7 linked regions of the Xenopus tropicalis genome follow. The protein of the gene in region 3 interacts with the protein of the main gene of each other region in a biochemical or structural test. Links are inferred from orthologs where the notes say so. Each region holds a gene or a part of one and is shown on either strand. Other genes may lie near its edges.

What was found.
Region 1: the proteins of nfkb1 (region 3) and elf1 form a complex in vitro, tested with the Homo sapiens proteins (2 studies listed by BioGRID). The link is inferred for Xenopus tropicalis from reciprocal best matches to the Homo sapiens genes NFKB1 and ELF1.
Region 2: the proteins of nfkb1 (region 3) and ep300 form a complex in vitro, tested with the Homo sapiens proteins (2 studies listed by BioGRID, with this or other methods). The link is inferred for Xenopus tropicalis from reciprocal best matches to the Homo sapiens genes NFKB1 and EP300.
Region 4: the proteins of nfkb1 (region 3) and bcl3 form a complex in vitro, tested with the Homo sapiens proteins (2 studies listed by BioGRID). The link is inferred for Xenopus tropicalis from reciprocal best matches to the Homo sapiens genes NFKB1 and BCL3.
Region 5: the proteins of nfkb1 (region 3) and btrc form a complex in vitro, tested with the Homo sapiens proteins (3 studies listed by BioGRID, with this or other methods). The link is inferred for Xenopus tropicalis from reciprocal best matches to the Homo sapiens genes NFKB1 and BTRC.
Region 6: of the proteins of nfkb1 (region 3) and chuk, one has a biochemical effect on the other in vitro, tested with the Homo sapiens proteins (3 studies listed by BioGRID and IntAct). The link is inferred for Xenopus tropicalis from reciprocal best matches to the Homo sapiens genes NFKB1 and CHUK.
Region 7: of the proteins of nfkb1 (region 3) and ikbkb, one has a biochemical effect on the other in vitro, tested with the Homo sapiens proteins (4 studies listed by BioGRID and IntAct). The link is inferred for Xenopus tropicalis from reciprocal best matches to the Homo sapiens genes NFKB1 and IKBKB.

Annotation. Positions count from the first base shown.
Region 1 is NC_030678.2:132,249,804-132,253,680, forward strand, and holds part of elf1 (ETS-related transcription factor Elf-1), read right to left. Parts: intron 358-3,877; coding exon 180-357; intron 1-179.
Region 2 is NC_030680.2:115,913,846-115,917,722, reverse strand, and holds part of ep300 (histone acetyltransferase p300), read left to right. Parts: intron 1-823; coding exon 824-880; intron 881-987; coding exon 988-1,065; intron 1,066-1,149; coding exon 1,150-1,217; intron 1,218-1,308; coding exon 1,309-1,459; intron 1,460-2,474; coding exon 2,475-2,621; intron 2,622-2,706; coding exon 2,707-2,820; intron 2,821-3,877. UniProt on the Homo sapiens protein: Functions as a histone acetyltransferase and regulates transcription via chromatin remodeling. Acetylates all four core histones in nucleosomes. Histone acetylation gives an epigenetic tag for transcriptional activation.
Region 3 is NC_030677.2:73,623,018-73,626,894, forward strand, and holds part of nfkb1 (nuclear factor NF-kappa-B p105 subunit), read right to left. Parts: intron 2,905-3,877; coding exon 2,800-2,904; intron 684-2,799; coding exon 592-683; intron 271-591; coding exon 132-270; intron 1-131.
Region 4 is NC_030683.2:108,946,591-108,951,070, forward strand, and holds the start of bcl3 (B-cell lymphoma 3 protein), read left to right. Parts: upstream 1-1,522; 5' UTR 1,523-3,002; coding exon 3,003-3,372; intron 3,373-4,480. UniProt on the Homo sapiens protein: Contributes to the regulation of transcriptional activation of NF-kappa-B target genes. In the cytoplasm, inhibits the nuclear translocation of the NF-kappa-B p50 subunit.
Region 5 is NC_030683.2:30,527,814-30,532,448, reverse strand, and holds the start of btrc (F-box/WD repeat-containing protein 1A), read right to left. Parts: upstream 2,930-4,635; 5' UTR 2,904-2,929; coding exon of another isoform or gene 2,886-2,903; intron 649-2,885; 5' UTR 588-648; coding exon of another isoform or gene 569-587; coding exon 536-568; intron 1-535. UniProt on the Homo sapiens protein: Substrate recognition component of a SCF (SKP1-CUL1-F-box protein) E3 ubiquitin-protein ligase complex which mediates the ubiquitination and subsequent proteasomal degradation of target proteins. Recognizes and binds to phosphorylated target proteins.
Region 6 is NC_030683.2:110,575,480-110,579,356, forward strand, and holds part of chuk (inhibitor of nuclear factor kappa-B kinase subunit alpha), read right to left. Parts: intron 3,108-3,877; coding exon 2,978-3,107; intron 2,695-2,977; coding exon 2,500-2,694; intron 1,154-2,499; coding exon 1,051-1,153; intron 1-1,050.
Region 7 is NC_030679.2:130,604,849-130,608,725, reverse strand, and holds part of ikbkb (inhibitor of nuclear factor kappa-B kinase subunit beta), read right to left. Parts: intron 3,620-3,877; coding exon 3,425-3,619; intron 2,928-3,424; coding exon 2,813-2,927; intron 2,636-2,812; coding exon 2,512-2,635; intron 2,403-2,511; coding exon 2,251-2,402; intron 1,576-2,250; coding exon 1,514-1,575; intron 946-1,513; coding exon 836-945; intron 704-835; coding exon 654-703; intron 323-653; coding exon 223-322; intron 142-222; coding exon 1-141.

The sequences.
Region 1 (3,877 bases), on a different chromosome or scaffold from region 3:
GGTTTTGGTTAGGGGTGAGTGCCACAGTTTTTGTGACTCACACATCACTTCCGGCAAAATCTACATGTTAGAAAAGTGAAAAAACGAGGTGTCGTATGATATTATCGGTGCGTGTATGGCCACCTTAAAGTATCTGAGGTATATCAATACTTGCTTAAGTGTGCAGCCCCTATACAAACCTGTAAGAGTAATGTCATCATCATCATCAATAATCTGTTCCTCTGCTACATCCAAGGAGTTTTCTGTAATCATGTTGTTTGGTTCATCCACACAGGTCAGACCTGAGTAGCTGTGCAGGAGATCTGCATTTGGAATGTGTTCAACAATGACAGCCGGAAAAATGGAAGGGTCTCCAAGCTAGTTGGACAAAAAAGTTTCAGTGACTTATTACTGTCCAAAACTGTAACAAGATCAGAAACGTGCCTTTCATTGCCATATTCTAGTCTAAAATAGTCTACAATGTATTTATGTAAAATGAAACCAATTCTGAATCTAAAATGAATTCTAAATCTTTATTATTTGTTTTTAGCAGAGTGGTTAATATATTTAATATTTATATGTGAGTATCATTTATTCTAAACTCAGTCATGCTGTGAGCCACAGACACATTTCACTAGCTCTAAAGGCTATCTATGGCAAACCTGTCAGTTTTAAGCTGTATTCCTGCTCTCCTGCTGAAAGTCTGGGGGTTGTGTGCTCGTAACCTCTGTCAACTTTGTTGAATTCATATCTATTTCATGACAGATTAGTAACTGCTTAACGGAGAAGGAAAGGTTCAATCACTAGAAGGTACCAAATGTTAGGTACCCCCAGTGATTGTAATCCTTACCTGCTACCCTCGGCCAGTGTGCCTGTTAGCAGAAAACAGTACTGGACCCAGGTACTTGCAAGGAGCTATCCTTTACCTGCTTCTTCTGTCTTTGCACGGGCGCGCATGTGCAGTAGACTAAAGAGACAAACTTTAATAAAAAAGATGGCTTTTTCACTCTACCGTGCATGCGTCGGCCCTGAGATTTTGAAAAAAGAAGGAAGGAAAAGAATCACTCACGCAAGTACCCCAGGCCGGTGCAGTTTTTCCTAACAGATGCACTGGCCCAGGGTATCAGGTAAGTAATTACATAATTAAGTAATTACCTAATATTTGGCACCCCCCAGTGATTGAATCTTTCCTTCTGCTATAATCATTTTATGTGACAGGTACCCTACACTATAAGCTACACTGCAGCAGTGTGGAGTTATGTGAATAATATATGTCTGCACTATATAAACAAGTGATAATAATTGTAACCTCATTGGTGTGGAAATTAGGAACAGAACTGCCATTATAATAATGGCTTGTATTACATGCTTACAAAGAAACTCTGTATGCCTTCTAGCAACTCCATTGTCTCCAGATTTTTCTTATTACTTTAAAGTAGAACTAAATCTCACCAAAGAATAAGGCAAGAAATGCTACACCCTATGCTCTGACTTCTATTCCAGCCTCAGGCTACCACAACCCTTTAGCATAAAAATTCTGCACCTCCACAGGTGCCTGCAGTAAACCCCCTTCTTTATTTATGCTGACTTGCAGGATATGCTCTAGGCTGCTGTCAGTTATCTATGCATAGGGACCAGCGCACAACATACATTTCATGATACAAGGCAGTAATTATTTCAGACTCACATTACACAACAGCATAATATCCAGTGCAATCTGCATTAGAATTAGTATTTAGCCCTTTAGCAATATTTTCTACAATAGATGAAACCTATATTTCTGCTTATGTTTTGGTAATTTAGGGCTATCCCAATGTTTTGTTTCTCCACAGCAGCCCAGACCAAACTGAGAATGTGCAGGGTCACCAACACTTTTAAGATCAGAAGATGGGAAGCTGCTGTTAACAACGTTGAAGGTACTCTGCTTAATGCTTAAATAATTTATAAACAAAAGATTGTACTACAATTTTAGATTAATTTGCTCCATGCCTTTGTCACTGAGATTTACCAGCGATTCCCTTTGTTGCTGGTGGAAAGGCATTTCGGAAAGATTAGTTGCCCCACAAAAGCAGAGATCTATCGTGGGCAACTAACAGAAAACTTCAGGCAACTTAAGCAAATCACTGCACCGTGTATGCCATCCCACCGGCGATTTACATTCCAGCCGGTGGGATGGCATTGCGGGGAGATTAGTCGCCCGCGACAACAGAGATTTTTCGCAGCGCGACTAATCTCCCCGTGTGTCATGGCCCTTAGAGGGCAGGGCCCTTTTTACCTTTTGTCATGGGTATCAGTTGTTGCTTTTTGAATAAAATCTGTATGTTCAATTGATTCACCCATTTATTGTACAGTGCTGTGGAATGTGTTGGTGCTTTATAAACAGCTGTTATTTCTTAATAAATATAAACTGAAAAGTTGTTTAGACTTTTTATTTCATTTCATCATGTAAAAAACAAATTTGGTGGAGTTCCCTTTGAAATCCTGAATGCCAAATACTGAGAGTTATTTCTGTCTATGATAATACCCATGCATCTGTAAGTAATTTTGAAATTGTTTTGCTATCAAAATAATTTTTTTGTGACATTCCAGCAGGTGGAGACTAAAACCACTTTGACCTGATGTTACAAAACAGAGTGGAAAGTCTGTTTTATGCTCAGCCTGTTGTTTTCATCATTTTCACGCTTATTACTGTCATGTATAATGAGCTGACACATTTAGCAGAGCTTTAGTGCCATTGTTTTCATCATTTTATCAGGAGCCAACTAGAGTGCTAGTATTCTTATGGGTTTAAGAGGAAACAAGAGTACCCAGAGGACAAGAACAGCAAGAATGTACAAGCTCCCTGAAAAAAAAAAGATAACCACTGCCATATTAATATTATGAGAAATGAAATAACTACAAGTATAGAAAAAGGCAAAGAAGTATCCTTCTCCAGAGACCTGTGGAAAAGTGTTTTTCTAGATTCTGGGTGGGAGCTGTATGATAGAACAGATCTTAGGGACTGAATGATTCTGGGACAAAAAAAAGAAATTCTGGCAGGCATATAGGGCAGTAAGGTTTGTGTCTTAGAGAAAATCGGTGTGAATAAATAATGTAGCTGTGCAGGAAACATGCGGCACAACCTGCTGCATCACCAGTGAGTGACGTTGGGTGGTCATGTGACAACACCCAGAAAAACAAAGGTGCTTTTGAACTGGTGCTGTAGTCACAAGTTGTTTAGAAACAAAGGCCATGGTCTTCTCTGAAACTGGGTGTGTGTAAAGGTGCAGATTACATTTTGCCTGTGGCCATATGGCGGGTCTGACCCTTGCTTTTATCTCTCAGTATTCTCCTTTCTTTTAAAGTCTTCTTATCAGCAGACTTGTTTCTTATGCAGATAAACTGCTGACCATCTCATCAGCAGCGAGTCTGTCTGTGTTTCTCATTACAGAGATCTCGTAATGATAACTTGTATGGCTGCACAGCCCACAAAAAGTTTGAAGGAAAGCAATACTGTGGGCATAATTTACAACTAAAAACTGCAGATTTTTATGCAGTAATTTATGTGACAATTTAGCGGCATGTCAAGCGATGCATTCCTCATGGGGGAAAAAACGACCTGCTTTCTACCACCCCGTCATCACTGTGTACTATAGGTTAGTACAGGTAGTACAGTAGTATAGGTTAGTGCCCACATGGGGCAGTTTTTGGCACAACATACTTTATTTAAAAAATGTGCCCTGTCATGATAGAATGGCAGAAACAAATCTGCATTTTCACCCCTTGTGTAGATACATACATAGGCTCCTGTGTATTTTTTATTATCAGATCAGATTTGAATGTCGTATTACTGTAAATATCATATCTTTTTAGTTTAGTTCTTTGTCTTTATTTATTGAGACCTATCCTGAACAAATGC
Region 2 (3,877 bases), on a different chromosome or scaffold from region 3:
ATGTGATTCATGTGTCCAGGCACCATACTTTAGCCACATATATTACCCACTTGGCAATAAATTTGAAAGATTTTTGTATCTGAGGGAATATTTGCTATTTATGCCATTAATTTCAAAGGAAAGTTTTATACCAAATATAAGTCCCCCTTTTTTTGTAGTATACTTCCAGTATTGAGTACATTAGGTTTGTTGGAGCAACAAAAAGCTTTTCTGCATAAAGTAATATGTTATTACTTTTCACTTTGTAAGATTATAAATTCTCCAGTTGGCATGAGCATTGTACATTAGTTCATTGTTGGAATTGGTGATTAGGGATATTAGAGGCTTCTTAATCTTTCTTTTCTCCAACCAGTATTTCTTTTCTTTCATGCTGTCTTGCTTTACCCTCTTTATCATTTCCTCCCTTTAATCTTTACACCCCAGAAATACATGCATTTTGTTTCCTATCCCACTTTCCTTTTCTCTCCTCCTAAATCCCTGCTTTACCACTATAGCTGCTTTAACTTTGCTCTTTCTCTCACCCCTCCCCCTCTTTTTGAGTTTGCTTTTTTCACCTAAATCTTGTTCTCCTTTTGCTCATCTTCATTTCTCCTTTTTATTACTGGCCTTAATATTGCTTTTTTACAAGTGTTCACATGCCCCTCCCTGTTTTGTTCTTCTTTCACTTCGGATTTTTCTTCTTTTCCTGCGCCATTCCTCTTTCTTGTTTTTCTCCCTTGATTGATCTTTTGCTGCTGTCTCCAAATGCTGGGGATCTTAGTTTTTGTATGTTATTTATGGCGTTTCCCTTTTTTTTTTTTTTTTTTTTGTTATTGCTATTTAGAACCATCAGCAAAGATCAATTCTCCAAAAGGAAAAATGACACACTGGATCCAGAACAGTACGTGATGTTTCCTATTTGTCCCACCACAGATTTAGATGAGTGTTAAATTGGGATGTGGGGAAGGGAAACTTCCTAATTACTGAGTTATATCTTCTCCATTCTAGATACGTGGAGTGCTTGGAGTGCGGTAGAAAAATGCACCAGATCTGCGTGTTACATAATGAAACCATCTGGCCCACGGGGTAGGTGTCTTATTTCAGCATTAACTTATTTGATCTCTCTGATGAAGGACATTCTGATTCTGATTTATTTTGTTCTGTCCATAGCTTTGTATGTGAAGGCTGTCTAAAGAAAACAGGTCGAAATCGGAAAGAGAACAAATTTTCTGCCAAACGTAAGTACATCAGTTCATTGTTGGTGCTGAAGAAATTGTAATATCTTTGTTTAGTCTATTCTGGGAGATTAATTAATTTATTTAATCCAAGGTCTCCCAACTACAAGGCTTGGCTCTTTTCTGGAGAACAGAGTCAATGATTTTCTGAGAAGACAGAATAATCCTGAGGCTGGAGAGGTGATTATTCGGGTGGTCCATGCATCTGACAAAACAGTGGAAGTGAAACCTGGCATGAAAGCGAAGTAAGCAGTTTATTTTTTGGAATTGTCACAGTCTCTCTCACTTTGGTTTAAGGACATTCCTATGTGTACACTTAATTCTGCTAGTTGAATATAAAATCTGTTTTCAAAAGTAAATTTCCTTATAGTTCAGCATTTTGTATGTTGGTATATGTAACCCTTATGTATAGTATTGTTTTGCTATCTAAATATAATAAGGGGATGTTCTTCATTGCTGCTGAAGATACCTTGGAGACTTGTGTTAATTTGGCCTACAGCTTTCCTTTTTGTCATTATTGCAAGAAAAAAAAGTTTGTGTGAACTATTAATGTAAATAGTGCTAAGGGGAAAAAGAAACAGGGAAACCATGACATATCATCACCTTGTGTTACATCTAAAAAAGCAATGTTTAGCAAGAGGTAGAGCAGCAAAAACTGAGCTAGGTTAACTGAAACTTACTGGAACTAGAGGGAAGTCCTTGATCGTGGAGTACAAGGACAACAGTCCTTGTTTCTCTTTCAACTTGGAAGGGAAAATGATGCACCTGATTTCTCAAACTTAATGTGCAACCCACCACATAAAGAGAAGGTGGTAGTAGTTATCAGGGAGACTCAGCTGTCACCCCTGGTTTCATTGTTGACCAATTAATCCACGTGTCTTAAAAAAAAAATATTTTAAACTGTATGCAATTGGGCTATATCAGAGAATGTGTTGAAGGAAGGTTGTGCACTCCTTTTCAGTTGCTTATCTACCCAAATGTAGCTTACTACAACTTTGATATGAGAAAAAATATGGATAAAAATGTTCTATATTAAACTGATTTCAGCTTAAGTAAACCATTAGGATGGTATGGACTTTTATACTTTCTTAACTGGCTGTTAAAAAGACTTTTTGCAAGTGCAGTTTACATTTTGGATGAAAAAAGGAGAAATTACTAGAACATTGTAAGCTGAGTTTAAAACTTTATTGTAAATTATTCTTAATTATTGTTACACTCAGGAACTGAAAAAAGCAAATCAAATGTTATTCTTATAAACAGGTTTGTGGATACTGGAGAGATGGCAGAATCCTTCCCATACCGAACAAAAGCCTTATTTGCTTTTGAAGAGGTTGATGGAGTTGAACTGTGTTTTTTTGGAATGCACGTGCAAGAATATGGCTCTGACTGTCCCCAGCCCAATCAAAGGTAGGCCTTGTGTGTCTGTCTTCCTTCCTGTAACGTAAGTTGTGTATGGGTTCAGTTGGTAACTTTTCTTTTTGATTCTCTTTAGGCGGGTTTATATTTCCTATCTGGACAGTGTACATTTCTTTCGGCCAAAGAACCTTAGAACAGCTGTGTATCATGAAATTCTCATTGGCTATCTGGAGTATGTCAAGAGACTAGGGTAAGCATATATTTATAAAATGTATGTGATAGTGGGACATCATCCATTTGGTTGCTTCCAAAGCGAGGCACTCCTCTGCATCATCTCACTGGTCACCCTGCCATAATGGTTCTAAGATCACATTGCAGTGTGCATTCATGCACTGTTGAGGCAAGTCATTAAATGACTGTGGGTCATTCACAGCCCATATTTGCTAAAAAAGTGTGACTGCATACAAGTTGGGCACTGTGCTGACATGCCTGAATTCTCATATGAAACTAAAAGATGATGGCAGTCTTGCATTAAACAAATTTTAGATTGAAAAAATATTTTGACTGGACGGAATTGTCATTTGCAATGGTAAGCTGAAAGTCAAAGCAAATGTTTTTTTCTTAAAGACTGAAATCTGTGTGCCCGTTGCACAAAATAAGATTAAGCAGGATAATCTTCGCCTACTGAAACACCAGCTAATGATATAAAAAGCCTCGGAAATGTGAGACATTCAAGCATACAGGCCAACTTGTAAGACAAATTAGTCATTTATTCTGTGTGGCTGTGCATAGATACACTGGTTTGTTGGCTTAGTTGTAGTATGGGCATTTTTGAATTGCATTGCATTTGTGTTTTTGGATTTGCTTATTTGTCCAGTAAAACCAAAGCTTGAGAAGAGTTTGTGTGTTCTGGGAGATTTGTATCCTGTAAACCAGAGTGCTCATCCTCTGTAACAGTACTCGCAAAGCTTGTCTATGTTCCTAATGTTTTATAAAGGAACAGAAGGTTTGAGTTACTGTGAATTTTTATTTTCCTAACTCTTACCCACAACTTGCTTGGGCCATTTTCTGCATGGCTGGCCAATGCCATCTTTCCTTAGTTTCCCAGGTATCCCCTTTGGAAAAGTTATGAGTTTCACCTGCAGCAAGACTGAACTTCCCTATTGGGTGGCAGCAAAAGATGGCAGATGCCCACTGTGCAGAAAGTTACCCTAAACCTGTGCTGTTTCTAAGAACATGAGTGCCTGGGTATGATTTAAGTTATTGTAGTCAGCATGAGTTCAAAATTAGCATCCCAGTGACTAGAG
Region 3 (3,877 bases):
GTATGAAAGACAATGCACCACCCTAGTGTAGGGAATAAATAATTAAACATAGGCAGTTAATAATACAAATAGTTTTAAAACATGCCAAAGTGGCACTTAACAAAAACTTCCAAATATGTATCAACTCTTACCTTTTATTTCTGGGTAGTAAAGAAATGGTTTGGGTTCACTAGTTTCGTAATCTGACTTCCTCCGAAGTTGAACAAACACAGACGCTGCCTTTGTAATATTTACATCCTTGTACTTTGGGGTTTTGAAGACAATAGCAAACTTAAAGAGAGAGGGAGAGAGATAAAGAATAAAATAGGACTGCTAATGTATATAAGCCTTTATTTAATGGGAGAGTGACTTGTTCCCCATGGAAGATATGCAGCTATGGCACCTCTTTGCTAGAGACAGACATGCTGTAAACATGATGCTTCTCTGAGCTCATCCCATTACAGTATTTAGGTTATACTACACAATGTCAGCCAGTACACAGAATCATGAACATATTGTAATCATATATACAATCTGATATTTTATAGTTGCTTTAGTAAAAATAATTTTCTACCCTTGTTAAGGTAATTTTGTTCCAGATAAAACATATACCTGTCTATGAACATCAGTAGGTGAGAAATCTCCAAATCCTTCCCAGAAGCCTCCATTTTCATCCTCTTCATAGAAGCGGACTTGAATATCGTCTGTAAGCGAGGAAAAGAAAATGTCTCTATTCACATAAACATGTGAAATGATAGAATACAGCCAAGTGGCCAAGTTATAGTTTACTGTGTTGTGCCAGGCCCTGACTAGCAATCTGTGGATTCTGGCAATGGCCAAAGGGCTGCTGTAAGATGCCTTAGACTGTCACTAATTATGGGGCCTGTGGGGGGGTGTTTGGGACACTGTGTATTTGAAATGCCAGGATCTATTTTGAATCTCAATCTGGTCCTCCCTGTGCTGCTGGGACCACAGAAAATATTATTCAATTGTTTTAGGTTATGCAGTGATTATCGAACTGAAATGTGTAAAACTAGAAAAACAATACAGGTAAGGGATCTCTAATGTAGAATGCTTAAGACCTGGGTTTTTAAGGTAACTTAAATCTAATTAATAAAAACAGCAGGAGTTTTTCCAACAGCATAAATTTAAACTAATTTAGGATAATGTACTAGGCCCTTTTTTAATTACAAAGATTGCATTTTTAATTATTTTAATTATTATTTGCTTATAATTGACTGTATGGAAGATGGCCTTCCTTTAAGCTGGCCATACACGTGGCGATCTAACGATGTTTCGTGCGACCATTGGTCGCAGTCAGGGCCGAAACAGCAGATAAGGAGGTAGAAACAATAGGATTTCTACCTTCTTCTGCCGATTCAGCCCTGACGGCAGATTTTGGTCAGGCGCCTTCTATGGCGCCCGATCAAAATTTTCTAACCTGGCCAATCGGCGAGTCGTCCGATATCAGCAGCTTCCTGCGATATCGGTCGACTCGCCGACATGCCATACACGCACTGAATATCGTACGAAACGAGGTTTCGTACGATAGTATCGGTGCGTGTATGGCCAGCTTTAGAGTTTTCTAGATATCAGGTTTCTGGATTAGGGATCCTATACCTGTACTTAGATAGCATTATAATAGCACTGCTCATATCTTATCCATATCTGATTCTCTTAGTAATCATTTACATTAAGCTGCAATTGCATTTAGAATACGCAAAAACATTTCACTTCCATTTCTTCTTATCTAATTTCCATTACCGGTACTCATTTCATTCTGCTATACCAGTGCTTCCTAAACTATGAGTCTTCCATACCCTGTCAACAGGGTCACAGGGCAAGCACTAATATAAAGTGTTACCATTAACATCCCAAAATCTTCCTACCAACAGCTGTTTTCTGCAGCACCTCCTTATATGCAGACCTAGGCCAGGCTTTTACCCTGGACCCCTGCCAAACATAGCTACAAAAGAGGCAGTCCACTTTTACACCATGATTATCATGGTCATGAGCTTGAAAAGCCCCATGACACTCTGCCCCATGCAGGCCCAGATTAGTATCTACAAAACTTCTCATTCTTTGGTTGTGGTAGAGGAGGAAGCACAGCTGTAATAAGCTGAATCAAACCAATCTAAAGCACATTTTCCAGTACACTTACAAACATAATAAAACAATAGACTCACTAAACTGTGCTAAAACCCAAGTGACATACAAAACATGTAAAAAGGGACAAGCTAAAATGAAACCACCCACACATGCTCTGCCAGTCCGGCTTGCATTACGTCATCTCTGATGTTTAACGTGAAGTTCCTCCAGTTCAAAATTTCCTCTGACGAAGCAGCAGAAGTAATGTAAATGATAAGTGAGGTTTCTGGACGGCTGCCAGTGTTGTCTTATTAAAGCATTTTTGTATGCTTTAGTTATATATTATTTTGAGATCATCATTTGTAGCTAATTTAGTATTTTTAGAGTATGATTGGGAGTAGCTATATTCCACAGCTGAATTTTTTTTTAACATGAGATAATAGCTCAACTTTCCCTCAAACATTTTACTATAATTTTGCAAATGCAGATGTGTTTCGGATGTCACAATACTTAGCTTACTGAAAACGAGCTTATATACAAAACAGCAGGATATACACTATTGTGAAACGATTTCAGCAGGAAGCATAGCCAGCAAGTTACAGTTACTAACATCTTCATAGCCATGTACACAATAATAGAGGCAAAGCTGGACATGAAGTGCCATAGTTTTACTTTGTCATTAAAAAATGTCAAATACAATGAGTTCTTTTTGGTTCCAGATAATTGACATACCTTTCTGCACTTTATCACACAGGAGGTATACTTCTTCCCCTCCTGTCACACAGCCTGCAGTCCTGTCCATTCGCACGATTTTCAGATTGGATGCATTGGGGGCTTCTAAAAAAAGGAAAGTGGTATACCAAAACTGCTTATTATACCAGCCCTTTTAATTGCCTGGGTAACAATACAATGAGATTTCCCAGGCTGTTACATCACCACATGCATGTGCTAAAAGCATTTTATGTTTAACCTCCTATGAGGAAGTAATATTTATAGGTGTCAGTTCTTCTGTTACACGGGTTACTAATATAGCATCTGATCAGAATGAAGAAAATTTAAAAAAAAGTTCAACAAGAAAAGCTGGTGACACAAGATGAATTTCCCATGTCTGACCTTACATGTAGATTCCTTGACTTCTGTCTTCATACTACATGCATTCAGCATGCACATTAACAACTACAACAATGGCAAATATACTGATCACATAGGACTGGACTGCATCTTAAATAAATGTCTAAGCAAAGCTATACAAACACAGTAAACATACAAACTAAGAGAAAAAACACTGCAATAAATAAATATAAATAAACAGAGTTACAATGATTAAGGGGGCCATTTAATAATGGTGGGATTTTTTTAGTGCTAAAAGTCGCAAAAAAAAAACACCTTTTTCAAGATTTTCTTGAAAATTCCCCAGATAAACCTTTTCGAGATCATGTAGAAGTCAATTGCAGATGTCCCTTCCCTTTCCTGGATCCTTCTTTGCTTCAAAACTTTAGAGGTTTTCTAATTTTTGACGCTAGTTTTTTATATGACAATTCGAAAAAGTAGAGGTTGCGATGTGACAATTCAAAAAAGTTGCAGTTTCGTGACTTTTCTGCAACTCTTTCCTGCACTGACTTTTTCAGTTCAGACTTTTTAGCAAATGTCAGACGTTTGTGAAAATGAGTTTGTTTAAATTTTGAAATAAAAAAAAATGAAAAAAGAGTTTTAGTAAATCTGCCCCTAAGTGTCATGTGCTAAAAGACAAAGGGGAAGTACTCCCCTTCCCCATAGAGCTTACAAGTGGGTAAGTGACATACAAATAAAT
Region 4 (4,480 bases), on a different chromosome or scaffold from region 3:
AAATGGGGGGTGGATTTTTGTAGAGAATGTGCACACCACATCTGTCCATGCCCATACTTCATTAGCAGGGCACAACCACACGCATCTGGACACCCCTCAACAATTTTAAAGGCAGGCTATAAAGTCTATCAGTTACAGTGCTTCCTTGATTTACCACCTACTTTAAAATACAAGGTAAACTGGCACACAAAAGGGAACCAACTTACTTTTCACTAAATATACAAAGCTCATATTATTGACGTTTCAAGTTTTTATATAAGAATCAAGGCAAGTCTTTTGTCTCCCTTCTGTCTGGTGCCTTGAGTAGTCAAACAGGTCAAACACCCCAAAGGCTGTTCATTAGGTCAATTGCAGACTGGGTGTTTCCCAAAGGTGCCCCACCAATGACTTTAATAATAATCACCTGGATCCTGCTGGTACATTTATGGGTAAGGTCAGACTTCTCTGGTGGGACACCAGGAAAAAAACAATAGGGTCCCCACCAACCCAGATCCGCTCCAAGCCTGACACCCTGAGCATTCCCCCATGACCTTCCCCCTCAATCGAGGCTGCAACAGAGAAAACAAAGTATGTGCAGGGTGGGGGGGATTTGATACATACTTGGGTTCTGAACAAAGCCAAGAGTCAGAACTACAGAACCAAGACAGCACAGGGTTTTTGTAGACTTTGTAACACAAGAGCATACAACATAAGAATGTATGAGTATAGGTGTTACTAATGAGAGAACAGAGATAACTCTTCACAGCACAGAAAACAAATAACTCTTACAGCCAAACAGGTGGCTCTGTCTTCAAGGCCATGGTAGCAGTAACCAAGGCTAGCTAGAGAACAGAATCCATCTAATTCAGGGGGGTGCCTGTGTTGTAAATCTGCACACACAGAATGTATTTATTATCACTGCTTATGAGTGAGCCAATCAGTTCTTTTAAATGTCCAGTGCTGTATTTCTTACAGGTCCACCCTTGAGTGCACCTGTGGGGTTCAGGGTGTTCAATCCATGTCCTGCTGAGCTGGGAACTGCATGGGTGGCAAATCACCTGCTGCAAGGGGCACCAATGGGGCAGCCGAGATCTCAGCACAGCTACGCACAATTTCCCTTAATGGTCCCTTATGTAGGGATGTAGGGAGGCATGACTGAGCTCGGAGTAGGGATTGTAGTGCAGGGGGTAATATGGAGAAGTACAGGGTGCATAGTAGGTCATTTTGGAGGGTAGATTACTGGAAGAATAGTGCATATAATGAGGATGTAATTATCTCAAACACAATGTAAGCAAAAAAAAAAAAATCTTTGGCTTTTGCCAAACTGAGTAATAGGAAATGCTATGAAGTGTATGTGTCACAGGGCGAGGGAAACAAGCTAAAGGAGGAGTCAAAGGGAGCGGTTTATACAACCGGGTGACCCCCTCCTGGCTTCCTGGCTTGTCTCTGGGGGAGGGGACCTTCAGGGAACAGGGCAAAAAAGCACCTGGGTGTGTTATCTTACAGAGGGGAAGTCCCTGCATTAGAGCTGCTTCCTACTAACTGCCAGCCAGAGTGAGACTGCTGCTGCTGCTTAGAGACAGGGGGGACACCGGGGGAGTGAGAAGGGACGGGAAAGCCTGAGACAAGTGTGGGAAAAAATGAAGAGGAGGGGGTGTGAGTGCAAAAGCCAGCGCAATGTGCAAGGAAAGCAACTCAGCTACAAAGTTAACTACTAGCACATGGAGGGGGAGCTTCAGGGCTGCAGAATTTAAAGGGGGTCTCTAGCTAAGGGAAGGCTCACATTGGGCTTAGAGAGAAGTGGAGGCTCAGGCACTGGGGGCTGAAGGGAGAAACAGATCTGATAGGACATAGGGTGGCGGGGAGACACCTAAAAGAAAAAGGCATTTCAAAGAGATGGAGAATGTTGGGTTCCTAATGAGGGGAACAGGCTGACAGTGCAGGTGTCTGAGAGGCACAGGTATTAGTGTGGCAGGTACAGGGGCAGAACAGTTAAACAGGTACAATATATGGGCACATAGATATCTACAGAACCGCATATTAGAGCCCACAAAATGAAACTGCAGATATAGTCAAATAGGTATTAGGACAGAGAGACAGATATATACAGGTATCAGCAGAATCAGTACATTGAGACATAGCTGAGAGGGAGGGACAGACTGACAGAGGGGTATAGCTGGAGGGACAGACAAGCAGAGGGGTATAGCTGGAGGGACAGACAAGCAGAGGGGTATAGCTGCAGGGACAGACTAACAGAGAGGTATAGCTGGAGGGACAGACAAGCAAGAGGGGTATAGCTGGAGGGACAGACTAACAGAGAGGTATAGCTGGAGGGACAGACAAGCAAGAGGGGTATAGCTGGAGGGACAGACAAGCAAGAGGGGTATAGCTGGAGGGACAGACTAACAGAGAGGTATAGCTGGAGGGACAGACAAGCAAGAGGGGTATAGATGGAGGGACAGACTGACAGAGGGGTATAGCTGGAGGGACAGACTGACAGAGGGATATAGCTGGAGGGACAGACCAACAGAGGGGTATAGCTGGAGGGACAGACCAACAGAGAGGTATAGCTGCAGGGACAGACTGACAGAGGGGTATAGCTGGAGGGACAGACTGACAGAGGGGTATAGCTGGAGGGACAGACTGACAGAGGGGTATAGCTGGAGGGACAGACAAGCAGAGGGGTATAGCTGGAGGGACAGACTGACAGAGGGGTATAGCTGGAGGGACAGACTGACAGAGGGGTATAGCTGGAGGGACAGACAAGCAGAGGAGTATAGCTGGAGGGACAGACCAACAGAGTGGTATAGCTGGAGGGACCCACAGGTAGGTAGAAATAACCTACACATTGCAGTGAGCCTGACAAAAGGGTGGAAAGCAGTAAAGCAAAGGAAAGGGAGGAGGAGTGACTGGAGGCAAGAGGAGGGCAGCTAGGGGCAAGCACAGGAAGGACAGAAACAACTTGCCCTCTGCTTTCTGACTATTACATCTGCATGGGGTGTCAAGAACAGCCATTCTGACCAATGGGCACCCCTAAAAGCCCCTGCAATGGAGGCATGGAGGCCTCTCCTTTGGACCTTAGTACCCGCAGGAAAATGGATTTGGCCAGTGTGGGCGCCGCACACAGCCCCCCGGGACTTCGCTCTTGGACAGCGGCTGCTGAAAGTCTGAAAGCCGTGAAGCTGGAAGAAGTGGAGCTGCCGGCAGAGGGCCCCAGTGAGTCACTGGAGGGACTGCGCAAAGACCAAGCCTGTCTCCCCATCCGAAAGCGAAGGTACCAGCCGCCTCTGGAACATGAGGGGCACTTTGTCAAACGGACAGATAGGAGCTTAGAGTGGGCAAAGAGGTACCACCCTCCATGTATGGCCTTTGCACTGCCAGGCTATTATCAAGGTAACTCCCTTTTCTTAAAGGATGAGGTGAATTGGTGAATGAAGGAGGAACTATATAAGATACAATAAGATAAGAAGAAATAATAGATATAGGCTTGAGATTTATTTGATCAAAATACACATGTGATTTCTTTCATTTTCTCTGCCTCATGTAATGGCCCAAGCCTCTCCCCATTATTAATGCAGAATATCCCCATTATGCTTTATATCCCCAAACCCTGGGAACTGCCACTGGGGCTCATATACTAATACTGGGCAAGAAAACACAGCAAACAAAATAGGCATTTCCTTCAATTGTTTTATTTGTAGACGATAAAAAGCTAATAGCTGATTGGTTGCTTTGGCTCCTCAACCCTTTGCAATAGATTTCTCACATTTGAGGACAATCATCAAAATTGCATATGTTTAAAAAATACAAAACACCTTGAGTGGATCAAGTCTTTTAGGTCATGTGACATTAGGGGTTTGGATTTGTACAAGGTTCTTTGCTAAACTAAACCCTTTATCTGTGCGTCACTCTTTTAAAGAATGACCCAGGCTCTTGTATCGCTAAAGCAATAGAAGCCGAATGCTGCTTGGTATATCACTTCATTTGTTTGTGAGCGTCACAAAAGTCGCGAAGACTATTTTCATGCGGTATTTGATGGAACGAGTGCTAATCAACGCACCGCGTATAAATAGTTGCCGCGTGCGAAAAAACGCACGCCATATTAGCCATACATGCCAATACTTTCGGAAAATTATTGTACTGAAAATGCCCATTTCCCTTCAAACTGGAGGCTGCATCACTCTAGGGCCAACACAGACTTGAATAAATCCCACTGCAAAGTCCATATTGTGTTGCCAAAAGCTCATGAACTGTACTTTTCTATAATTACCGCCTGCCCCAAGTAGGTGTTAACTTTCGCACAGACTAATATTTAGCGCGTCTAAGTGTTTCTGAATCATGCGTTAGTATTCATTTCTGCGTGCAAATTAACGCATGCGGTAGCACAAAATTTAACGCATGCGATATGCAACTTAACGCACACGGTAATACTGTAGCGTATCATGCATAATTTTCGCGTCTATTTTAACGCAAAAAAGCATGCTATAAAAATTAACACACT
Region 5 (4,635 bases), on a different chromosome or scaffold from region 3:
AGGTGCCTAAAGCTTGAATTCAACCTGTGTGGCATAGCCCTAAAATATAGCAAGCACTGCCAAGTATTAGGATAAAACTTTTGCATCCAATCCATGGAAATATAGGTATGGGATCTATAAAGCAGAAATCGGTTTTCCAGAAAGCTCCAAAAATCAGACAATCCCATATGCCATAACACCTTTTTCAAACAATTGTTCACATTTGACTGATTCGCTAGTCTCTGAAATAAGTCAGTACCCTGTACTTGATGGTAACAAACCCTTTGGAAAGCAATCCTAATTTGTTTTTTGGTTTTTTTTTTTTTAAAAAGTTTAGTAGCTTCCACATTTAGGAAAAAACTCAGGTCCCAAGCATTCTGGATAACATTTCCCATACCTGTAATGACTTATTTTTAAATTTTTAAAGAAAACAGAACAAAACATTTAAACCATAAAAAGAATGATTAGAAAAAACTAAACAAAGCTAAATCAAATTGTTTTTGTTCACAAAAATAAATAAATAAATAAATCAAAAGATAAAAATAAAAGTTCTTACTGGTGGCTGAAGAGAACATGAAAATCCTTCCATCTCAGTCCTTTTCCAGTTACTGTTTAGAGTTTATATAAATTGTTTCTTAATTAAGTCTCAATGTTATGGTTTCATATAAGCTGATTCCAGAAAATAAAATGATCACAGTTAAATCATTATACCAGAGGTAGTAAAAGGCTATAACAATTGATTACACTTTAAACAAAGACTTCACTTTATAATTAAAAAGTTAATCTGAAAATGCATTGAAGGAACAATCAAATGGAACTAGTAGTGTGAGTTTGAGCTTTCCCACCCACAAAGGTATTGGGCTGAGGGGGGGGGGCATTAACCAGGTTGTTTTGTTGGGCTTAAGTGAGGACTGACAAAGCACTTAGTACATGCCTTTGGAGCAAAGCTATATTTTCCCAGCACATTGGTCAATTCTATCCATCTGAGTGTGGGCAGATCCTATGAAGTTTTCAGGCATCCATGGACTACACAATCCCTAGAAAAGGCCATATAAAACCCTTGAGTCTCTTAGTTGGGTCTTTCCATGAAGCAGGTTTTTTTTTGTTTTTTTTTTTTAATTCCATATGTTCATGTGCTAAATTATATTCATGTTTTAAAGTACAAGGAAAGGTGGATTCACTGAGAGTTAGTATGTTAGCCAGGCCTGGATAAGAATTAAAAATAGGCCCTGACCTATCCACAAATTGCTAGTTACCCAAGTGAATCCAATCACTACATATTTTAGAGATGCACTGAATCCACATTTTATTTTTATTTGGACAAATCCCAAATCTTTCATGAGGGATTCAGGTGAATCGCTAACCAAATCTGAGCCCTAAATTGCATATCCAAATTAAGATAATGGGAAAAACATGCACATATAGCGCAAGTGAATTTGTGATTTCCTTAATCGAGTGACCTAAAGTCAAGTGATTTCAAGGGTTCGAATTCAGTTTGGCAAGACATTTGGATTTGCCTGAATCCAGCTGAAAAAGGCTTCGAACCCTCAAGTTTTTTCCTCATGCCTGTGCTACTTTAAGAAAAAAAAATGTACCAAAATGTAAACAAAACACTGCACCGCCATCTTATCTTATTGCCAGGCATGGGCATAAACAAGTACTAGAAGCCTGGAATAGCACTGGGGTGCTCTGGTAGTTCTTTTACCCTGCTCAGTGCAATTTTTTCAAAAAAGGAGCACCCAGTAAATCCCATTACTAACATATTGGCACCCGCAATGACTCCACCTTTCCTGGGCCACAGAAATTCCTTTGCAGTCACCTTAAAATTCTGACGATATATATTTAAGGCTAGTTCCTTAAAACACACCTTTTTACGCGTATTAAAATAAACAAGATATTTGGGTTATTTAAAGACTCCACCGGTGCAGGTTTTCCAGATATAATCACTTGAGAACAGGTGAATAAATCAGTGGATGAGCTACTGAAGCCACCAATGGACTGGCCTTGTTCTATTGCTGCTTAAATCACGGGTTCCTATTTTCCATGAGATTGAAGCGGAGTGTTTCATAAAATATAATTGTTATGAGCAAAGGGCAAACCTTTGCCTTTTGTTGGACCACAACTCCCAGCATCCCCAAAAGGCAGGAAGCTAGGAACTGTTCTAGGAGATGAGCCAGGTGTGAAGTGACTACCATACTAATTAAAATTTGGTGGTGGACAAGTAGCATTCCACTGAAAGGAATGATATTATATATATATATATATCTATTATAATTACCATCAAATGCTTCATGTATCACCCACAAGCACCCTTGGCCTGTAGTGAGTGCAATATAAATGTGCAATTTTAAAAAGGACCCCACATCCAATTGGATATGCTGCAATGCCTATGTGTTGAGACTGCGCCACTGCAGTGCCGATTAACTACAATTCCCACCATTCTCTCCCGGGAATGACGGGATTTGTAGTTCAGTAGGGGCTGAGGGCCTAGAATCGGACATCCTTCCCCCAAGATAATATAGTTTCCTATCACAGCCCGATATAAGCTCCATAGCGCTGAGGGTATTGTTATATAGCACCGCGGATCGTCAGCCATACCACTCCCAGCAACCCCAGGCGGGCTCCGCGGCCGGCGATATTGGAAGTGGTAGTTTAACATCGGCTTGAGATCCGCAGGCAGAACATCAATGTATAATAGTAATAAGAGTACAAAGAGGACAAAGCAAATACGCAATCAATGCAGCCGGTGATACCCGACAGCCCAGCTTGCACAGTCACCAAGCCCCGACATATTTACTTATAAGCGCGTCTCACAAACGCTCCCCTAAACCCTACAAACCCATCAATATCGCATTAGTACAGCTAAATAGGCTTATCTAGAGCAAATTTTCTATCGATGATATTACCTTTTTATAAGATGCCATCACCCCCAGTACACCCTTATTCAGAGAGGTACTTCCTCATCCGATGACATCATAGTCACATGGTTCCCTTAACTAAGAACGCTACGGCGGCCCGCAAGGAACAAACGTCAGAAAAAAATCGAAGTTGACATCTTTTTAAGACTATATATTCCGATTAAATTTGCATACAGGGTCAGCTCCTCGTGTTTTTCGGAAACTTGTTTTAATCACTTTTTGTCGTAAGAACGATACACAATGATTCATTGATAAGCACTGTAAATACATACGGAAATGGCATTCGTGGCCTGCTCCGACTGATGTGTGTAGAACGTGTAATCAGTGGTTTCCTTATCTGAAATAGCTTGTAAACAATAGACGGATCAGCTTTCATGTATGTGTGGAAGCAGCCAGAAGCCTAGTGTTAGAGGGAAACGCCCTTTTTAACCCTCTTCTGGTATCTTGCTCATAGTAAATAGTGCAGTTAACAAAGTAAACAAAACTAGGCAAATATACAATTATACTGCACAGTTGCTCCCTGTTCTTTATTTGTAATGTGAATCTAATGTTCTAATGTGTATCTCAGTCCTGGGAATTATCCAAAATGTTCAATTAGGGCAGTGCACAAAGGCATTTGACTGGCAGAAAAAGCAGTGCAACTACATTTATGTTATTATTATTATATATTTAAGAAGTAGGGAAGGGTAAGAGATTATGCCCTAGTAGAAGGTCAAGGTTGAAAGTGTGAGGGCAGAGCTATTCAGTTAGCATGAGGACAGAGGGCTAGCGAGCCATAAGCCCCAGTGAAGGTGGCCATACTCTATAGGATCTGCTACTCTGTTGATGCTGGCAAAAAAGCAGATATTTCCCTTGAAATACCCACCTAAGGTGAGCAACATCGGCGTAACCGGATCGTTTGACCCTCGTGCCAAATGATAAGATTACAATGATGGGAATGAGAGCCACAAGGACCACGTGAGTGGCCACCTTTAGTGGGACCCAAGAGTCAGGGTAGAACTAGGGGCACATTTACTAATCCACGAGCGTCCGAAAAGCGTCCAAATGCGTTTTTTTCGTAATGATCAGTATTTTGCATTTTTTCGGAAAATGTTGCAACTTTTTCGTAGCCGTTACGACTTTTTCGCATAATGTCGCAACTTTTTTGTAGCGTTACGACTTGCGCAAATTGTCGCGACTTTTTCGTAGCCTTTGCGCCGAGTACGAAAGTTTCGGATTCATTCAAGCTTCAGTATCGTGACTTTTCTTGGGCCAGGTTGGAGCTGCAGGATGCCATTGAGCCCTATGGGAGACTTTCCTTGGGCCGGGTTGGAGCTGCAGAGTGCCATTGAGCCCTATGGGAGACTTTCCTTGGGCCGGGTTGGAGCTGCAGAGTGCCATTGAGCCCTATGGGAGACTTTCCTTGGGCCGGGTTGGAGCTGCAGAGTGCCATTGAGCCCTATGGGAGACTTTCCTTGGGCCGGGTTGGAGCTGCAGAGTGCCATTGAGCCCTATGGGAGACTTTCCTTGGGCCGGGTTGGAGCTGCAGAGTGCCATTGAGCCCTATGGGAGACTTTCCTTGGGCCGGGTTGGAGCTGCAGAGTGCCATTGAGCCCTATGGGAGACTTTCCTTGGGCCGGGTTGGAGCTGCAGAGTGCCATTGAGCCCTATGGGAGACTTTCCTTGGGCCAGGTTGGAGCTGCAGAGTGCCATTGAGCCCTATGGGAGACTTTCCTTGGGCCAGGTTGGAGCTGCAGGG
Region 6 (3,877 bases), on a different chromosome or scaffold from region 3:
ATGCAGGGCCTTATGGAAGTGACATCATGCGCTAAATCCAATGCTGCTGGATTTAGGCAGAAAGTCCCCCAAAGCTGCCACCCTAGGCACAGGCCCTTGGGGGCCTACATATAAGTACAACCCTGCTGGTAAGACCCACCTAGAGAATGTAGTAAACTTTTAGTTTACAGTACACAGTTATGAAAACCAGTGACAAAACTAGAAAGAATCCAGAGAAGGACAACTAAGTTATCAAAGTAAAATGGAAAATCTCAATTCAAAAAGAGGTAAGTTTCCAATTTACATTTATAAACTATTTCTAACATGAGTTCAACATGACTTCAATCAATAGGGTTTGCCTCAGATATGTTTTGTCTAATGTTTTAATCATGAAAAATGTTTTTTATTTCTTGAGCTAAACTACATCAGACATAACTTTAGCAATGATTGTCTTTCCACCACAGGTAGGAAATGCAATATAATGTCCTTTACTAAAGTAAACACCCAGGCAGAGTGCTTGTTTTTACCTAGGAAAACTCTATATGCTTTTTTCATCAGGGCAACCTAATCTTTCTACATCTGCCTGAATGGTGTAATTTCACTTCTGTACATTAGAAGGCTTAATGATTTAGCCTACATTTTATTAGCATTTTTATTGATGTTAAATAATAAAAATCACTAATGTTAATTACCCCATGAAGACAAAAGCAGTAAAGTGGTGTCCATGTGTCTGCTGTCATCTAAGGCCCCTAGCCTTATCACACCCCAGGGGCCAATTGTTCCCCACCACAGCTTGATGTCTCGGGGCTGGGGAGCAACAGGGGGATAACAGGAAGTGCTGCAGGCCGTAGAATCTACATTCTGTGTCATATATCCACAGAACATGGCATTTAAGGGTTATATACATTTGTATTCCTTTTATTTTTTCACATCACTGGAACTTGTACACTGTTTAGGTAACAAGATTACCCGGTATCTAAACACTCAATCAAAATTTCTGTTCCTGTGGATGGCCTTCATGAATGTCAGTCTATGTGTAAATGTAGCATCTCTGCCGATATCTGTACTTACCTATGTAATTAAGGCATTCCGAGAGGCTTCTTGACTGAAATGGTCCTTCATAAACAGTCTTGCTTTTATCAAACAAATAAACCATATAGCTATCCCATCCTTTCTGCAGGGAAAGACAAAAGGGATTATATAGTTTGAGATAAAACACTTATGATTAGTTGAATCATCTAGGCTAGGGCAAGAACTGTATTTACTTACCAGTGTACAACAACTACTATTTGGTTCTCCTCTAATTCTTAAAATGCATGTTTCACATTTACACATTTTACATTTTATTAACCAAGAAAAAAAAAGCAAAAAGCCCTAGAAAAATAGCAGTAGTCCTCTTTAGGCCCTCTTAGCAAACATTATTTCTGGGCTCTCCTTCCATCACTTGTGGGACCCAGAATCCCCCTGTGCACAAACACCTGGCTTTTCAGGTATGGGCTGATCCTCCCTTATCAGGGCCGGCCAGAGCCATGGGGTTTGTTCCCTAATTGTTATTTTTAGAAATTTCATAAAAACCACAAAGTTTAGCATAGCTAAAAATACAAGCCTTGAAATTTGTATATACATGTTACTTTTTGCCATCTCTACATGTGAAATAGTTGTTTAATTCTATGCATATTGGTCATCAAACTGGTCCAAAGACCCCTGACATTCATATTCAGGATGTTTACCTTGGCATAATATGACGCGTGGGAGAAATATTAACTTTTTTGTGGCCTTACCTGTGGCTTTAAAGCTATTTTGCAACAGCTGAAATGGCATGATTGTTCACATGATTTTGTGGCCTCTACTCATATCTTTCACAGTGTTTTATTTGACTAAACAAAAAAAGCCAAAAATGTACATATTTTAATTGGGGGGGGGTGCTATGAAGGTTATTTACTATGTGCAAGGCAGGGTGCAAAAACTGACACAATCACTCATACTTTGTTTACTTTGCAACCTGCCCTATATAAAGAATATTTGCTCAGGGTCTCCGTTTTTTGATTTGGCCCCATGAATACAGCGCTATCTGTGGTTGGCAGCATTCTTGTTCATTCTTGCAGCTGGGTGGAGGGACGTAGAAGTGCAAATAAAATGTGAAAATCTACTGGTACTGATAGGGTTAAAGGAATCTTGCTGTCCTGACCAATAGAAATATTTCATTATTTTGATCATTTGTATCAAAAACATAGATGGCTTTAGAAAACCAACCTGGAAACATTTCCGAAGAAGCCTTAAATTGTTTTTCCCCCCTCCCTCACATTTTAAGCATATGATGTAATGCATTTGCTCTGATGTGAAGCACAGATCATAGAATAAACAAAAAAAACATAAAATCTGTGGCACTGGCAGTCAGGCACTTGATGGACAGAGCTGCATATTATATGATCTCAGGCTGGTAAGCGTTTAATTTATAACTTTAATTTAAAACCTAGCGTTTGATTTGGTCATTCTGATATTCTTCCATAAAAACCTTACCACTCCATCTATAACACATTGGGATGCTGGTTTTCTTGGATCAAGGGATACCCCCATCTCTAGAAGTAACTCTTGATTACATGTGCTAATGCCAGTCTCTGTCTCAATGCGAGACTGCAGGGTGTGTAGGCTCTCCTCAGGTTGCAGGTGAAAAGAATGAATCTTGGCAGATGTCATATTCAAAATGTGAACTATCTAAGAAACAGGAAGGAAAAATAGGGTTATATACACTATAATAATAACATATTTAATGCTACAAAGGAGCTGCTCCATTGGCCTTGGTAACCTTTTTTATATCAGTTTCAACTAGGTGGGCCTCCAAGTGTCACAGAACAACAGTTACGTTCTTGTTATTATCCAACAGCACAAGGATCCCCAACCTTTTTACTTGTGAGCCACACTCAAATGTAAAAAGTGTTGATGAGCAACACAAGCATGAATCACATATTTTTCAAAGAACTTCTGATATTGTTTTTACCTTCAAGTTGAGGATCTGGTCCATTAGCACAAAACATTGTGGACGACCGCAGTCCATTCCTCCTCCCCGTTGTATAGGGTCCCAGTTTAACAAAAGCTGCAACCATGTCTCTATCTTGTCTACAATTATGCTGAGGGGAGAAAAAAAGACAAGCCCTTCAACACGTTTGCCCACCTGAAACCTGCTTAACTGCAAGATGAACAAAAGGAAGATGAAAAAACCTCTATAATTTGCCTCAGGGGCAATTTCTTCCTGATGTCAAGTAAACAATTTAATTTACTTACATTTCAGTAACTTTGTATATTATCACTTTCTAAAAAGGCATCCAACCCTTTTTTGAAACTACTGAATGTATCTGCCAGCATATTAGCTCTGGTAGAGAATTCCACAAAACCCTTTCTGCATCTTAAAGGACAACTTAAGCATTTTCCTGCAGCAGCAACTAATGAGAAACTTGCAAATACATCCTGTGCAATACTAAATACACAAAAAGTCTACACCATTATTATTTTTGTGCTTCCTCCAATGTGGTGTACATGATTATATGTACTAAGCTCTGTACAGGAGGCATATACATTGGAGAAACAGTGCAAAAAACTATGCACAAGGATGAACCATCACTGACATAAGATCAAGACCAAAATATGTGATAAACCAGGGAGGCAACCATGGTCTTAAAGGAACAGTAATACCAAAAAATTAAAGTGTTTTAAAGTAATGGAAATATAATGTACTGTGGCCATGCACTGGTAAAACTGGGGTATTTGCTTCAGGAACACTACTATAGTTTATATAATAAGCTGCTGTGTAGCCATGGGGGCAGCCATTCAAGGAAGAAAAGGCACAGGTTACATAGCAGATAACAGATAAGACACCATTGTATTCTACAGGGTTTATTTG
Region 7 (3,877 bases), on a different chromosome or scaffold from region 3:
ATCTTTAGCAGGTTCCACAGCTCCTGCTGTCTCTTCTCTTGCCTCTTTACCACCATTTTTTCATCTTCTCTCATTAGGTTCATCACCTCTTTCACCTTTGGGGATAGTTCTAGGGCTTTGTGCTTGCACGCCACAGTCTTACTGCAGGCAGATGGGAAAGGAGTCAGTAAAGCCGGCATGAAATCATGGAGATGAGAAGGATAAAAGGGAGCTGCCACAGACCTGAGTTGGTCATATATAAGGATGACTCTCTTCTCGAAGCTCTGGATGGCTTGAATTAGGAGGCGCACCATTTCATTGCTGTCTCCTGCTGTCCTTTGATCTACAGGTAAAAAAAATACATTGGTGCTGGGTTCCTAGAAATAAATTTACGTTTACGTTTAGAGCAAGTCAGATCTTCTCGGTAAGTCCAATATCCTTACTACATGTCACATGGAGTTGAGCATGTTGAAACTACACTTCCTGAGTAACTAGCAGGTAGCCTAAATACCATGATAAATTAACAGAGTCAGGTTTCTGGTGCTAAACCGCAAGAAGGGTTATCTAGCCCATCGTATTCCCGTCATATTTAGTAATACAGACTCTTTGGCCCTAGAGCCAAATACAACTAGTAAGGGGATTATTTACCCATATTTGCAACAATAACTGCTTACCTCTAGGTCTCTCCCGTAACCGCCGATATAAATCTTTAGCCTGTTCTTCTCTGGCAATAAAAGTAGAAAACAATGTTTTATTTAGACCGTCATAGAGAACAGCCAACCCCCAACACAATTTACAGAACACTTCATATGATGACATGAAAGTACAATGGCTGAACAGTTTCCACCTCACTCACAGGTCATCCAGTGTCCCTCGGTGTTTCCTGCCTAATGGATTTCTCTGCAGATCTACACTGTCTGTTTGTAAAGCCATCATTTTATCCACAAGAGCCTGCACTTCCCTCTCCTACAAAAGAACAAAAATGTAAAGAACTTAAAACAAAGGAAAATCCAACACACAGTGGTTGAAAAGGTAGGTAACCTTGTTTCGCAGCAATGAGCAATTGATTTCTGGGCTTCTCTCTTGCCTTATGATCTGGCAGGGGGTAAAAGTTGGGGTCTGACATTAAGAGCTGACTGGGGTTTACTACTACACTGATCTCCAGGAAGCTCAATAAGAACTCTCTTTAGGTTCCAAAGCTAAAGCCCTCCTTTACCCCATAAAGATCAATGCAATGGGATATACTGCATTTTGGGAAAAGAGCAGCCCATAACCAAACAACCTGGATACATTTAAACAATGCAGACTGCGGATATTTGGGTGCATTTGTAATTAGACCAAATTTGTAATTACAATACACAAGCCCAAACCGCAAATGGTTGCTATGGGGGAAAAAAGCAGTGCACTGGTTTTGCCCACGGTGCCCCTTTAAGTAATGGAGCCCGAGACCCTAGGGTACATATATTCACATAGCACGTTTAATTTATGGAGTGGGCTTTCGAGTATCATTATCCCATTTCATCTCATTCCTTACCCTGCCGCACAGTTCCACTGTTTGCTCCGTCTCTCTCCAGGCTGACAGGAGCTTTTCAGAAGCTGCGAGAAAGAAACATTGTTCATATCATTAACAGGTAATGTAAAGGTGAACGGCTCCTTTAATAGATATCATTGATGATAAGGTGATGTGTGTGAAGTAGGAACCCATATAAAGGCTCAAAATACAAGGGCTAGACCCTGGCCTACTAAGTCTCATCCTGCAGACTGTATGGCTAAAAGCAACAGTAATAAAGAGAAATTTGCTCTTTTATGAATATGCTATTTCACAATAGTAACACTGCATGGTGCAGATTTTGCCCTGTTCACATTTCACAAGTTCAATATATAAAAACTGGCATTTCTAGACATATTCATTTTTAGGGTTTAGTTCTCCTTTAAATCTGCATATAACAGAACGGGTACCTTCCGTATCCTAAGCAGAGCTTTAATTTTATCTTAATGCTGTAAACTAAGAGGCCATAGTTTGATATGCACAGATCATTCCTCTGTGTAAAACTGTATTTATACAGAAGACTGGAAGCTCCCATACTGCTTGCTGTTAATACAGAAAGCCATTTATGATGACTATGAATGCTGTTTAGTGGTTGTCTAAAGAAAAAAAAAAAAAGCTGTGCATAATAACAGTGTGTCAGAGGTTACAGCAAAGTCAATAAATCACTATAGTTCTCTTTACTAAGCAATAAAAGTCGACAGAGGGCCCAGCCAGTAACTTACTGATTCCAAACTCCATCTGTTCACTGTATTTTTCTAGATCAATCTGGATACTGTTCCGGAAGAAATCCAGTTTGGCCTTTAGCTGCTCAAACTCAGAAGTCATGAGGTTCTTCTTTTTGGAAAGTTCAGTATTGTATCGCAGCAGGTTTACCCTACATAACATAGAGATATGCCCTCAGCACTTATGCATAATACATGGAGAAACACACATCTGCCACACATACTGTCTGTCCCACCCACACGCAGAGCTCTCATACTCACATAAAGGTACGCTGCCCATGAAGCAGACGGGCACAATCCTCTTTCATCGCTCGTATTGTCTGCCAGGTCTGCCCCCACACGCGGCGAAGGTGGGTGTAAGTGAGGGGCCGCTTGGGATCCTGCACTGGAATAGAATTAAGTGCCACAGTGTCACATCACCATCAACAAACCACAAACCTCAGGATTAGACAGATGTATAAACCCTGAAGGCATAGGCAAACGTCTGAGTCCTCAGGCAAGAGGAATATACATATACATGTATATCCCTTGCCATTACAAGCCAAATATCAGTGGCACTCACATATAACGGTGACACTCTCGGGATGTGCCGGCAGTGATATCTGGGGCTCATATACAGTCTTCCGGTTATCAAATAGAAATATCAGATCACCCTCGCCCTGGCGCCCATCATTGACCTGTAGACAAAAGCAAATAAGACACTTATTGATTAAAATAATTCCAGTTTATAGACAACAAAGATATTGGCCTATGACCCTCAAGCAGTTACAACTCCCACCAGCAGCCAGCATCTTATATGGCAAGGTCAGATCTAGAATGCAAGAACAACTGCAGGTGGAATGAACTAGAACAGTTGAGGGTTTTACTACACTTGCTGTACTGAAAGTAATATGAATATTTGAATCTGTATATTGCACTTAAGAGCTGTAATTAAGCAGTGAAACATATGCCTATATGGTCACTCTCTGAAGTCAAAAAGACAATGGTTTTCCTTTCATTAACAGTTCCACCAGATACTGTGACCTGCAAAGAAAGGCTGCTTACAGAAATATAATTTAAAGTTGCATTTTAAGTTGAACCACACTAGCCTTGTGTCACATGACACAAAACATTTTTTTTGCCATATTTGTGCTTTCATAATGTCATTTTGCGGTGAGCATGAGAAGACTCTTACCGTGCAGTCTACCACAAACTGGGTTAGAGGCTGGGCAGGATTAAGGGCCAATCCTGATGCCTGCAATAGTTCCTGCTCTTCCTCAGGAATCCCTGTGTCTTGCTCCAGGCGACTCTTCAGATTCTGCAGGTTTTCATTCTCTGACACCGGGTAAGTGTGCACCTTGCCAGACACCATGTTCAGTACAGACAACAGCTGGGGGGATATATACACATGTACATCAATATATCAGCAATAACATATATGTTTATAAAAACCTGTGATATATATCCTTATAAGTAGTGCTTAGTGAGGTTATCATATATAAATCACCCATAGCCCATTGAAACGTGTATTAAAAAATAAGCAATCCCCTGCTTCAACATTTAGGAACATTAGAAACCACCTTACATGGTCTGTGGTCCTTATATCTTAAGAGAGGGTGTTGTATAAACATATATGCAGGTCTATCCT